Linked DNA regions of Caenorhabditis elegans. The protein of the gene in region 1 interacts with the protein of each later gene in a pairwise test. Each region holds a gene or a part of one and is shown on either strand. Other genes may lie near its edges.

The links.
Region 2: the proteins of dyc-1 (region 1) and apr-1 interact in a two-hybrid assay, tested with the Caenorhabditis elegans proteins (one large-scale study listed by BioGRID).

What each region holds. Positions count from the first base shown.
Region 1 is NC_003284.9:14,046,251-14,053,030, reverse strand, and holds the start of dyc-1 (Dystrophin-like protein 1), read right to left. Parts: upstream 3,497-6,780; 5' UTR 3,360-3,496; intron 3,204-3,359; exon of another isoform or gene 3,183-3,203; intron 2,217-3,182; 5' UTR 2,204-2,216; coding exon 2,087-2,203; intron 1,867-2,086; coding exon 1,795-1,866; intron 1,259-1,794; coding exon 1,104-1,258; intron 1,059-1,103; coding exon 950-1,058; intron 1-949. UniProt on the Caenorhabditis elegans protein: Together with dys-1 and hlh-1, participates in a common muscular function.
Region 2 is NC_003279.8:8,046,961-8,053,740, forward strand, and holds the start of apr-1 (Adenomatous polyposis coli protein-related protein 1), read left to right. Parts: upstream 1-3,082; coding exon 3,083-3,265; intron 3,266-3,469; coding exon 3,470-3,624; intron 3,625-3,673; coding exon 3,674-4,400; intron 4,401-4,892; coding exon 4,893-5,480; intron 5,481-5,521; coding exon 5,522-6,780. Other genes in the region: K04G2.7 (HTH CENPB-type domain-containing protein), read right to left, coding at 521-712, 758-987, 1,042-1,139, 1,195-1,288, 2,212-2,371. UniProt on the Caenorhabditis elegans protein: Has a role in endoderm cell specification and pharyngeal development. Required for the migration of epithelial cells, organization of the anterior seam cells and ceh-13 expression during embryo morphogenesis.

The sequences.
Region 1 (6,780 bases):
TGAAAAGCAGACAACTGGTCTCCGCCAACACGATAAAGAACATGTATGTTTCGTTGATGAGCTCCGAAAAGTTTTCGCTGTCTGTCTGTTCAAAAACATGAAGAACATTGAGCACGTTATGTGAACCCAACAAAAACGTCTAGGATAGGCCGAGTGTAACCTGGAAGTGGAAGCCAGTGAATGATGTTGTGTAATTTACGATGGCAGAAAACAATGTTATTGATTTTTGTTCTTTTTTTTAAGCCAAAATATTGCTTTTTTGATCCATACATTTTATTTTCTTGCTTTCAAATGAAGTATAATCTGTGAAAATACTTAGGATTGCATGGTAATTCTGATTATCATTTGTTCTTTCTTCGATAATTTTTGTTCAAAACGTTTGAAAAATACTTATTGCCACAAAAAATTTGAATGAGTCTTAGAGCTTATTATCATCTTAAATCACGAAATCTTCAGCAAGGTCTGTAGTTTTTTAAATGAAAATTGCATTTTCTTGATAGTAGAAAAATGTTTGGGTAGTGTGGACAAGTGTGTAGACAATTCAATTTTTCAAATTGAGGGGCATTTACAGAATTACAAGAGTAGTATCGCCAATATGAAAAAAAAATTTTTGAGTCGGATAATATTCTAAATTGTGAACAAAATCAGTTTTTCCGCCACTTCTCGAAAATGGGAAGTTTCGGAAATGTAACACCTGTGGGAACTGATTAACAACGCGTTGGGAAATTGTATAGTGATTAAACATCGGTATTCATTTCTATAAATATTATTCAAAAAAAATTCATGTAATACATACTTAATTGAAAACCACATAAATTTTCAAATTCGATAGTTTCACCATATACAAAAAATTCAACATTTTAACTTTTTCGACGCTCTTTCTAAAAAAAAATTTGATCACAGTACTACTTCAATAATAATAATAATAATATTGAAAATAATGACTAACCTTTTTAGAACACTTAAATACATTGCATTTAAATGTGTTACTAGCTCCATCCCGTGCAATGTAGGAAAATATTTGAAGATCTTGAGAATCATGTGACACGTAGAATATCCTTCAAAATTTTTACAATAACAATTTTACAGAAATTTAACAATACCTGTATATTGGGTGAAACATGACAAGTAATTTAGATTCATCCCAAGAGAGACCTTTCTCTTTCTGTTTCTTCCGCTGAAGAACAACTTTGACACCATCGACGGATACGGTAATGTCGACCGGGCGTTTTTTGATACCACGAGCTTTGAATTCGTACTGAAAATGGTTTTATTCAATAATCAAGGAATTAGGAAAATAGATTTTCAAAAGCGTTTTCTTCAAACACTTCAATTTGGTTGTTTAAGAAAAAGTCAGTCAAAATCAACAAATATGACACGGTCAAATTCAAATTCACATCGATGATATGCTTGTTCAAATATTGATTGCTTATGTTTCCTTAATCAACAAAAAAAGTTTTAGATACGACTATAGGTTTTAGGTAAAAAAGTATCAGCTTTTTTGCAGTGTGGCAGATTATTCAATCAACGCCTAGCATTTACTGACTTTAATATTGATTGATTTAACAAACGAAAAAATTGTAGAGAAGAAAACACTAGCAAGTGTAGAATTTGTAAAAAATTCAATAAATTATGATCTTTCAAAGTATTACGATTCTATTTTCTACACTACTAATAATAATGTTGCAACCATGTAATTATACAAATTTTAGATTATACTACTAATTTTCAATTGCAAATTTCAGCTCATTTTGAATATATCTCTATTTGCGAGTTTTTATAAAAAAAACTCACTCGAACTCGTCGCATCGCCGCCACAATCTCGATTCTCGTCCCGGGTCTAGGAATTTCCATGCTTCCGACATACTGCAAAAACCCTTTTTGGATTAAATCCAGTAGTTTTGTTTTTGTTTTCTTTTTGAAAGAAAAAAAAAACTAAACTTCCCACTATGATTAAATTTGCAAACGCGTTAGGACCAAACTTGAAGACAATCTAATCTACACCCTCCGGGCTTTTCAGAATATTCAATGTTCGTTTAAACAAGATTAGCGTTGTACAAACATTCGAATACATCTTTTCACAAACCTTTGCTTCGAAATGAATACCATGCTGATAAGCGAGTTCGTTATGGAGTGGAATACGGCAGTCGTAGACATCGTCGGCGATGATATCGTACGGACCATGCTTTTTCCGCACAGGCATTATATCCTCACCTCTGTAAAATATGAAATAATGATGAAATGGTGGAAATGTTAGTAAAAAAGTATTAAAGAAAAACGGTTAGAGAAGTAAAACAAGATGTTAGATGGTTTCAGCAATAAAAAACATGGGTGTTTTGAAGAAAGTGAATTTTAAACAATAATCAAAAACAAAGTGGTATTAGACACTCGGCAAATCGCTGTTAGTACGGGAGGACGTATGTCGATTACAAATTCCTTGTTATAAACATAACATGTTTAAAAAAACTGAATGAATGTCAATTTTAATAAAGTACAGAGCCTCTGGTTTGTAAATGTTTTTTATTAATAATATTACTGGATTGCGTTTCCGTAATAATACATCTTTTTTGCACTTTCTACTTGACCGAAATGTTTTCGTGCAGATGAAAATAATGAAAATTAAAATATTTACATGATACTACGCAAGACAACATTTTATCAGAAAGAAAATTTGGACTTTAAAACTATTTTCACGCAGAAAAGGCCATGAGGTTTCAAAACCAATTTTTTGTTAGGTTAAGATAGGGCTGGTAATCCAGAGGACTGGCCTTTCCGAATGTACTGATTTTCGGACAATCGGGCGTTCGGTTTTGAACATTCGTGGATTTATGGGAGCGTATATCCCGACATTTTTTTGTGTTCCGCGTCTCATTGTGATAATGCGTGCGTTTCTATAGTAAGCAGCGGAACCCAGAAAATGTCAGGATGTAAGCTCCCCTAATTCCTGTGATAAAAAAAATTTCCACCTTATTTTGCCACCCATGGTGACTCCATGTGGGCGGACGTCCAGATGGCCAGCCCTAGGTGGAAAAATAACAAAAGTTGAAGTAGTGCCAGAATGTTATTTATGCTGAAAATCAGCAGAAAAAGAGATAACATTTTCAACAATTTTCCGAATGTATTGATATTTTAGTCCATGTTTTAGGTACACTATTAGAAATTCATTTTAAAAATTACTATGCTTTCAACTGTAAATTAACAAAGATTTTTTGTGCACTTTGAAGAAAATTGTTAGTTTCATATTCTGACTTTTCAGCCCCTAAACAACTTTCCTACTGATGCTACTCCGTTTCTAAATGGACAATAAACACTTGTTAAACATTTCTGAAAAAAAACGCTCACTCAAAACCGTATCAAACCTTCAACTGCATATCGAGTATATCAGCTACCATGAGCCAGTATACTACGAAGCAATTGTCCGATATCAGGACAATTTGGATATCGTATTGAAACTGGTGGTGACGTTGGAAAACGTTGGGTGAAGAGGTGAGGTTCGCTGAAAACTCAGTGATTAAGCTGCTAAAAATGACAAAAAGGGCACACTATGAAAAAAGAGCAAACGAGGAAAAATAATTGAGTGATGATGAGAAATGATGAGGAACAATGGGCCAAGTAGATGGGGGAGAGAGGAAATGAAAGAAGAAATGAATAACTCATGCGGCAACGCAATTTTAAACACTAAAACCAAATATTTTTGCTTCTGATCATTTTCCTGGAGGAAAAACGGATAAGGGAGTATTGAACAAAAGAGCAAATGCAGAGAAAAGTGTAGGTAGTGTAGCTAAAAGGACTTTTAAGGAAAGTGGACTGACCAAAAGTCCGTCCGCAAATTGAATATGAGAATGGAAACAGGAGGAAAACGGAAGCCGATGTTAAGAAGGAGGGAAAGAAGTTTAGGATGATGGGGGGGGGGGGGGGGGGGGGGACAGAAGAAATAGAAGAAGTTGCGAGCCGAACAAAACTGGAAATTGGTTGGTTGGGAGACCGATGAGCGAGGTTCCCTGGAGACGTTTTCAAATAGGAATATAAAGATTGAAGATGTGTTGAGAGAAAAAAATAAAATAAAAACGCAAAAAAAGAGGAGGGGCGCCTACAAAACGGCTACAAATATGATTGTCAGTGCGGGGGAAAGATATTTCTACTTTCATGGATTTGAAATGAATAAATGTAATGTTATATATATTATACAATACAAAACTTGTGTTACTGTATTTTTCAAGTAGTTCCATGCTTTCATATGAATTTTTAAAATTACCATTATTACTAACACAGCACGTGATGGCAAGCGGTCTCATTACGATTTGATTTACAAAAAAGGCGACGTCAGCACACCTTCAAAAATGCCAAAAAAATCTGTCGAGAAGTCTGCGTCTAGATCCCCGCACATTCCGTAGATCTACGTAGATCAAACCAAAATGGGACACTCTGACACCAAGTGACACAACTCTTATAAACTCGTTTCTCTGATTGATTAGTTGAAAAAAGCTGATAGTATTCACTACAAAAGCAATGATACAAGGAAAATTAGTGCAATATCAAACATTTCGGATTGGTACAAGTAGAATGGCATACCAAACCATTATCGCAATGCATCTAAAAATAATTCAAAAAAAAATTAATGTCAGTTGAATTTCCAACATTGTGACAAAAAATGTGGTGTTAATTATTTTACGTGGTTTCGTATACTGAAAAACTGTATTTATTTACATGTTGATGTCAATGTGAAACATGATAAAAACAAAAAAAAAGCTTCACTATTTAGGAAAACTATATGAATTAAAAAATTACACATAGTTTGCGATTGGGAAACAAATTTCAAAAAAAAGGAAACCATACTTTTTTTTAGATATTGGCAGTAGCATAATGCACTAGAGCAAATATACGAAGTTATATTCTAGAAATTTGAAAGAAACGCAACAAAAATCAAGATGAAAGCATGCAAGTTTTGCTCTTTATATATCGTCTCATCACCCGTTCTTCTGCGACATTGGAAGCAATTATCCACACTATCACTCAGTTCCTAATCGATTTGAAAATAGAAAAAAAAATCGGAAAATGGAGGACAAAACAGGGGCAAAAAGAGAAAAGCGGTCGGCGGGGAAAAGAAAACGAAGAAGCGGTTGCGTGTGTGCCGTACTCTCTCATCGTCTTGTCTTGCGCAATTAGTTGTGATTTTAGGAAGCATGCGTGTGCATGTATGGGTGCACTTGTAGCTGATTGACTTATGCGCATCTCCTTCTTTGATAGAATTGCCGAGTAGAAGAGTTTAGATTTGTTGGAGTGATGGAGAGGAGTCACCGCTCCTCCTCATCCTATTCCTCCACATCTTCTTTTTTATTGTGACTGACTTTGTCGGGAGCCTTGCTCCAAAAACTTACTCTATCTTACTCTATCTACCACATCTTCGTCTTCTTGCGTTGGCCTTTTTCCGCCAACATTTTTGATGTAATGTGTCTTCGGAAGGCGTCTGAATAGAAAACGAAGCAGAGTTGCATGTTTTTCGGCAGTTCTTGGATTAACTTTTGTGGATTGGAATGTTTGTCAGAATTAGATGTGGAACCATCAACTTCAAAAACATTTGGGCCAAGATCATGTTGTGTAATTTAAAAATAACAAAATTATACTTATACTGAAAGAGTTCCAGTTGTGATAGCCAAATTCAAAATAGTCTAGCCCTGCATTGTAAGTACATATAATACGATGAGGCCAGGATAGACCTTTAGTTTTCAGTTTTTGCAGCGTCAATGTTATATATCATATTTAAAAAAATGTTACAGTTTGACACCAGAATTTTAATTTTCAGAAAACGGTTAATTGTGCAAATACCTATTACAATCTAAATGAATCAAATATTGAGGGTATTTATATTTTATTAAACATTGAAGGTTAAGCACCAAAATCTGAGGCTTTTATTTTTTAGACCCAAAATTGCACAAAAATTATCGAATTTTGTAATGAGACGTATTGAAAATTCTGGAAAAAAAGCTCATTTTCAGCTAAAATTAATTTTTTTTCCCAACTTCTCGGCGTCGCAGCGTCTGGAACTCAATGTTAATTAAATTATCACTCTTTGATAAATATTGTGGTGTTTAATTAGGCGTTTATTATATGGGTTAAAAAAATTGTATTTTGTCGTGCTCACAATATAAAATGCTGCACAAATACATTTTAAACTTTTTTAAAATAAAGAAATACAATGACCGAGCTCCAAATTGATTCAACTATCGCAGTTTCAAGAATATTATTCAAAAAACCTGTTTTTCGAGAATTTCATATTTCAACCAGTTTCAGAAAAAAAAATCTGAGAACAACGAAATTTGGATGACAAGAAAAAAAAGAAGGAAAAAGCGCACAGAAGGAAACAGAGGAATAACAATCTAAACAAGAAGACGTCGTTGATTAGCTACTTGAAAAACGTTCAAGAGTCCATACGAAATTTCATTTCCAGAATGTACGGCATGTGACTCTCGAAAGATTGGCACCAAAAGACAGAAATTGTTAAAAAGAGGAAGGAAAATGAGCATTTTCAATTTTCACAAAGACAATAGTGTCAAGACTCGCGTTTCGTATGTGCAATTGACATTGTTCAGTACTAATATGGATGTTAACCAAAAAACATGGATCTGTGTTTTTTTGAAAATTATTTTAGGCTGAACGGATATTAGGAAGCTGCTACAATTTATTCGAAAAGCTGTAATTTTTAAGTTGATAGTTCAATTGAAAACGCCTCGTGTATAAAACTTGCACTGAAGGTGTCCTTTGGAGAAATTGAAATTTAGC
Region 2 (6,780 bases), on another chromosome or scaffold:
ATCACAGGCAATTAAAATTTAGGGTGTGTCCCTTAGAATTGATCTCACAATTGCAAAATAGTTGAACTTCGAGCTCTTTAGAATTTTTATTTCGAAGATCCATTTCTACACTGATTTGCATAATTCCTGCAGCTCAGCTTCTCCTCCATTCAACTAATGTCATTTTGATGTGAGACCCTCGACCCTCTTTTTCTATACGCCGATGCCGCGCGCAGAAGCACAATTTATATGTCTCTATTTCTATGGTTGAGAAATAGACGACGACGGACATCGGCATTTTCGTTGACTTTATAGTACTGGTTTTCTTTTTATTTTTATGTGTTCTTTTCCTTCTGTATCCTTTGCCGACAACTATAAATTGATTCATCCGACTCCATATATTAATTTCTGGTAATTTTAAAACAAATTCATTTTTATAGTTTGAATATGCAAGCAACCGGTCAGTTCTATCACAATATTGATACTATTTAACTAAAGTAAAAGTAAAAGATATGAGTCATCATTGTTTCGTCATCCACTTTTAATTTTCTCTCGTCGGCTCTTGTTTAACTATAGAAGCACCACACCCATTTTGGTCGAATAAATTGAAATAGTGATGTGGAAATAAATAGTTAGGAGATGTAACCACTTCCATTGAGGTGGCTGATGATTTTATGTCCTCGTTGGACGTTGTTTGTGGCGTTGATCTTGTATTTTCTTCTGGACTTCTTGGCTGAAATATTGAGTTCAGATCATATAGGAAGTCATTCAAAGCCACCTTTAACTCGACACAGTAACGACGTTTGAATCTGTAAAGCCAGTTTGCATCAAAAAATTTTGCAATATCCGGTATTTCTGGATGCAACTGATAGGCAACATATTGAGCATACTCCTTGATCCATGGATTCGTTAGACGCTCGCCTTTATTTTGGCGTCTCACGATTTCTTTATTGACTTGTAAATCCACATCAGCATATTCCTTTCGACTCGTTCGCAATATTCTTCGTTCTACAAAAAAACAAGTTTAAGCTCATCAATCAATGGATTAGAAAAAAAACTGACTCTTCAGAAAGTTAGTCGTCTTCATCTTTGTTACATCCAACGCCGACAGAATTATCGTCTTATCCTTTTTGTCGGCGTGGCGGCGTCCACTAAAGTATCTAAAAAACGAAAGATAAATTATCTAGGTCATATAGAAGATGTAGAAGTCCTCACCGGATTCCATGTTTCTTCCGAAACAAATTAATCCACCGATCAGAGACATCGAAGCCGCAAATTCTGCGAATCTCACGCCTCATCCATTCGTCTCCTTAAAACACTTTTTTTTCTATTTAAGTTTTCAAATTTGATTCAAATATATTAGTTGATCCTTTTATCAACTTTAGGTATTCTATCTGTGCTTCGATATACTACGGTCTAATTTGGAAGCCATATATGAACATTATAATTACCCATATTGTGCAGGGTATATGTTCACATAATATAAAAGGCCTGTTCAGTTCAAAAAGTATACTCCAAAATCATTGGAAAGTCATTTTATGAATGAAAACTGTCGTATCTCATCACTCAAATTTTCACACCTCGTTAGTTACAGTTCTATTCATTCCGGTAACCCTATTGTGTTGGGACATAAGATTCCTGATGGGACCACAAAAAAGTGGTGGCGTGTTTGCTACCCAACACAAATACCCTTGACTAGAGAAAGGGACTACGCAATCGTCGCGCAATCTGCCCCTTTCTCAACAGCAACAACCAAATTGGCTTGTTGAGAGGAAAAACAGTAGGTGGGATTACACACACTTTCTCTATCTGCCTAATATCTCTGTATCCTTTTCTGCTATTTTTTCGGCGCGAAATTTGAATTTGAATATCATAATTTCGTGGCAAGATCTAACTCCATTTTAAAGGTAGACGATTATTTTATCGGTGGGTCTCGCCAAGATCTCCGGAATTTTTATTGTGACCGAACCCAAATTTCATGATTTTTCAAAAATAATTTTAAGTGAATGTATAATAATGAATAGAAAAAGTCTGAATGTTCAGAACCTAGTCGGGTCGACTGAATTTTTGGAAAACATTTAGCGAACGTACATCACCCAAATTGTTAAAATAAACAGAGAAACATTCTATTCGTACCTATTCAGCCTAAATCAACCATTACATCCGTCTCCCAGTTTTTCCATTCCCACCTTCTAAATTGTATCATATATATATATATATATAAAATCTCACCTATATGTTGAGTACTCTGTCCATTGCTATCGCACATCTTCACCTCTTCATTATAGACATTAAATAGTTTCTGCTCTAACTCGCCTTCTTCAATACGACAGTTCGACGAGCTAGATGTAGAAGATGTTGAAGGACTCGAAGTAGATGTAGTAGTTGCCATTCAACGCAAATACACAAAATGAACTATTCTCTTGTCTTTTTTCTTCTTAGTTTTACCCCCGTTCAAACGCCTCCTTCCGATTCATCTTGTTGGTTGCAAACCATTTTTACCTTTCGTGCGCCGGTTTTGGAACTGCGGAACACGTAGTGTACTGTGTGGCGCCCTCCCTGTATAGTTATACACTCGACACTGCATATTTACATTGCGTTTCTTCGGTTTTCTGAAGGTCAAACCGATTGACTTCATCTCTGTTTCTTCTTTTTTTTTCAACCGAGGGGTTCGTGGCTGGCCTTCGAGTACTTTTGAACCATGGACAGCATAGTTTTCCATGTTGTTTTTACGGCCTTGAAAATTGAAGAATAGCAGCAAAAACGGTCACCTCTCGCATTGTAAACACCTGTTCTTTCGAATCAAAATGGGAATAAAACCACGAAGGAGTTTAATTAAAAGTGCTATTCAAGCTGGAACAAGAAATATTTTCGGTCCAAAAAATTGAAATCATTCAGAAAACCAACAATATAACAAGAAAAATTTAGGTTTTGAGTTTGTTTTGAAAGCTTAACAATTTTTTGTTTTCAAATATTAATTTGTTAAAAGAGTGATTTTTAACAATTATTATTTATTGGAATACATTGATGTACCTTTTCTATTTCTTATATATTCTCTTCAAATATATCAAAGATCATTCAAAATAATAAAATTAAATTTCAGATGAGCTCTAGTAGTAGTGATGAAAATGAAACAACGATACACAGAACAGGATCAAATACCGGTGGAAGTGGAATCTACTCACAACCTCGAGCAGGATCATCAAAAAGAACATCGAATGTGCGACATGATGTTAGTGATGTAGATGATGAAGAAGAGCATTATGCAAGATTTCGCGAAGATACGGTAAGGATTGTTGGAAAAAACAGATTTTCGATGTTGGTAAAAGGCCAAGTTTTGACTTTTTGAGGAATTTGAGCAATTTTTGTACCTGTACAATGGTCTTCTAAGTAAAAAAAATCGGAGCGTAAAAAATTAGAATATAAAAGTATTTTTTAAGCTTTTTAACTATTTTTTCTGAAAATACAATATTTAAAAGTTTAATTACAGGCGATCGAGGTTGACGATGCTATAACAGTTCTTCTTTCATCTCTACATTTCGAACACAAACGTGATATTGTTCCGACCGATGAAGATGATAATAAACTTCGAGAACTTCACGAAAAGATTTTTGCATTGATAACGAGTGAATCTGATGTTAACAGGTAAATCCGAAATTTTCAGAATATTTTTCAAAAAATCGTTTAATTTTAGAAAAAGACGGCTGAAAAAAGCTCTTCCTGCGTCAAACTGTGTTAGAGAACAAGTATATTATCTTCGAAGGAAACCATCAACACCACCAGCTTCTTATTATCATCGACTAAATGCAGCTCTTCACACAATCGTTAAGGAATCATTTGGAGAAGAATATCGAAAAGTTGCTACAGTATTAGGACTTGTTGAAGCGCTTGCAGAAGTTTTAATTCTTGAAGTTCACACATTTGGAATCAATGAGACCAATCCTGGAGAGCATCGAAATATTCGAAAACTTATTGCCAATGCTCTTACGAATTTAACATACGGTCAAATTCACTCTAAACGCCGGCTATGCTCATATGATGGATTCATTCGATGCGTTGTTCGAATTGTGATCGAATCTCCAAATATAACTCAAGTATACGCTGGACTAATCAGAAATCTCTCATGGAACGCCGATTCAGGAATGAGTGAAGCTCTTCAACCAACAGTTCATGCACTTTCAATTGCTGCAGTACATGCACATACACATAGATTCGATGTTACAGCAACATTATCTGCTTTGTGGAATCTTGCTGGTCACTCAGTAGAGAATAAACGAACTATTTGTGATACTCCGAATTGTTTAAAAGTATTAGCCAGCCTTCTATCTCCTGATGCAAGATTCACGTCACTTGTTGATTCAGCTACTGGAATTCTGAAGTATGTATCACAATATCTCGCGAATACTTCCACGCATTTAGAGGTTAGTTTTTGATTTGTTTTTGTTGAAAAATGCAAGTGAGGTTTCAAAGTTATCTTTTTTTTTCATAAATAGAAAGAAAAAAATCGAAAAAAATTTCATGGCGAGTCAAAATTTTGCAAAAAAAAATCCAAATCTTGCTAAATCTTTCGTCAACTTGCGCTTGTTTCCAATTTTGGACATTTCTGAATATCGACTTAAAATGTGCCTAAATAAATTAACGAGAGATAAAAGTCAGAAAAATATGCCACAAAAAGTGATTTCTTCAACAGGGATTTTAAAAGAAAATTTTGGAAAAATTTTACCCTTTTTTTCACCTTTTTGTAAATTTTTTGAGAAGTAAGTAGGTTTTTTTTTTGAGAAATTACGAAATTCGATGGTTTTGTGTCAGTTGAAGTTTTTAGGCAAAAGAACCCACAAACACTTCCCTTTTGCACATAAAATTGATCAAACTGAACAAATATCATTATTTCAATTAATCCAATAAAATTTCAGCTAAGAAGCTTGCTCATCACTCGAATGCTCACTTTGCTCAAGAGTGCCTCGTTCACTTGTGTTACAAATACTCTAGGAGCTATTGCAAACCTAATTGTCAAAGATCCCCACATGCAGCAAATGATTCGGCAGGATATGGCTGCAGTACAGCAACTCAACGTACTCCGAAACTCGAATCGTGATGATATTCGGACAGCAGTGAAGTCTGTGCTGAATACTCTTAATCAACCGTGTAGTCATCGTTATGGTGATATGTCACATTCTGTTGGAGGAGGAGCCACAGGGATGCAAATGCTTTCGGAGCCACAACTTCAGATGCAAACATCTCATCATGCTTATCATGGAACTGCGTCACCAAGATTACTATCACTGAGAGCAACTCGAGCATCACCTGGAAAATATATACAACCACAGGCTCAACAACAGTTGATACAGACTCCACAAGTTGATCAAAGATCTAGTAGTCTGCCAAGACATTTTGCCGTTCAACGAAATGGATTTGTGATGGCACAGTCCTACAATCAACAAATGGATCAACATCAGCAACAACAAATGATCTATCAATTGCAGCAACAACAACAAATTATGGTAACGATTTTCCAGCGTTTTTTTCTGTAATTTTCTCTTAGTTTCAGACGGAGGATCAAGCGCAAATGGAACATCATCAACAAATCATGTACCTTCAGCAGCAACAACAACAATTTCATCAAATTCAACAACAGCAACAAATGCAAAAAGCTCAGGAAGCTGATCCAGTTCCTCCTACGGATGACGATCTAGATATTCCCACATCTACCGTAATGGGAACACGAAGTAACAGTGAAAGAAGTCTCGGCTCGATGAATCCTGGAAGTGTTATGACAAACTGGAATTCTTCTCTGGATACTGCAGCCAACAGTTCTCGTGCTCTTTCTCCTGTATCATACAATGATATTCCAGCTTCTCCAACAATGTGTGCTCAGGTGTTCAATTTACCTAAATCCACTGAATCGGAACATCATCAATTGACGTCTCAACAGCAGAACACTACACATTATAGCAGTGGATCAGCTAACACTATGACTCGGAGTGATGGTGCAACTACTGTGCCAATGGATAACATTATTACACCAACTTATGCTATTTTGAATCCAATATTGGTACACGAACAGACACCGAACGGGACAGTTCCACGAAAGACTTCAGAAGAGTTGGATAGTCCTGATGATGTTCTCCCAGGTCCATCTCTTGAGGAGGAAGAAGGTGATTATGCTATAATAGGAGGTGCCGCACAAAAGACAGATGACGAGCTTTTGACTCGTTCTATTCAATCTGAAATGCCTACTTCGTCGTCTACTCCGAAGATGAAAGTCTCGCCTCGCCTTAATGGATTCTTCTCTCCAACTCAGAAAACAACATCGTCTCCTGCATGGTCTCATCCAGATACCTCACCGATTCCAAAGTCATCTTCTCATCGAACTCAACCTAATCGTCGTCAAGATGCTTCTGATGCAGATCGTCTTTTAATGGAATCAATAATGTCAGAGATGCCAAAAAGTCGAATTATATCTCCACGACTTGCTGGTACACAACAATATCTTGAACCCGAGCCAGAGAGAAGAAGTCATTCAAAAAACGAGGAAGCCGATCGCCGCGACGCATTCACCGCATCGCATGAGCCCAGCGATCATAACGGCATTGATGTGGCAAGAGGCTCAGACTGGTCTCCACAACAACAATTACATCGAATGGAGTCATTGGAAAGCCAAGCTAGTAGTGAAGATAGTTTTGGATTAACTGCTGAAGAACCAAATTCATCAACTTCTGGTGCTGCTGCAAACACTATGAGATTTGACGATGAGATCGATGCATCTCTTCCAATGGATTGTGTCGATGATGATGATTACGA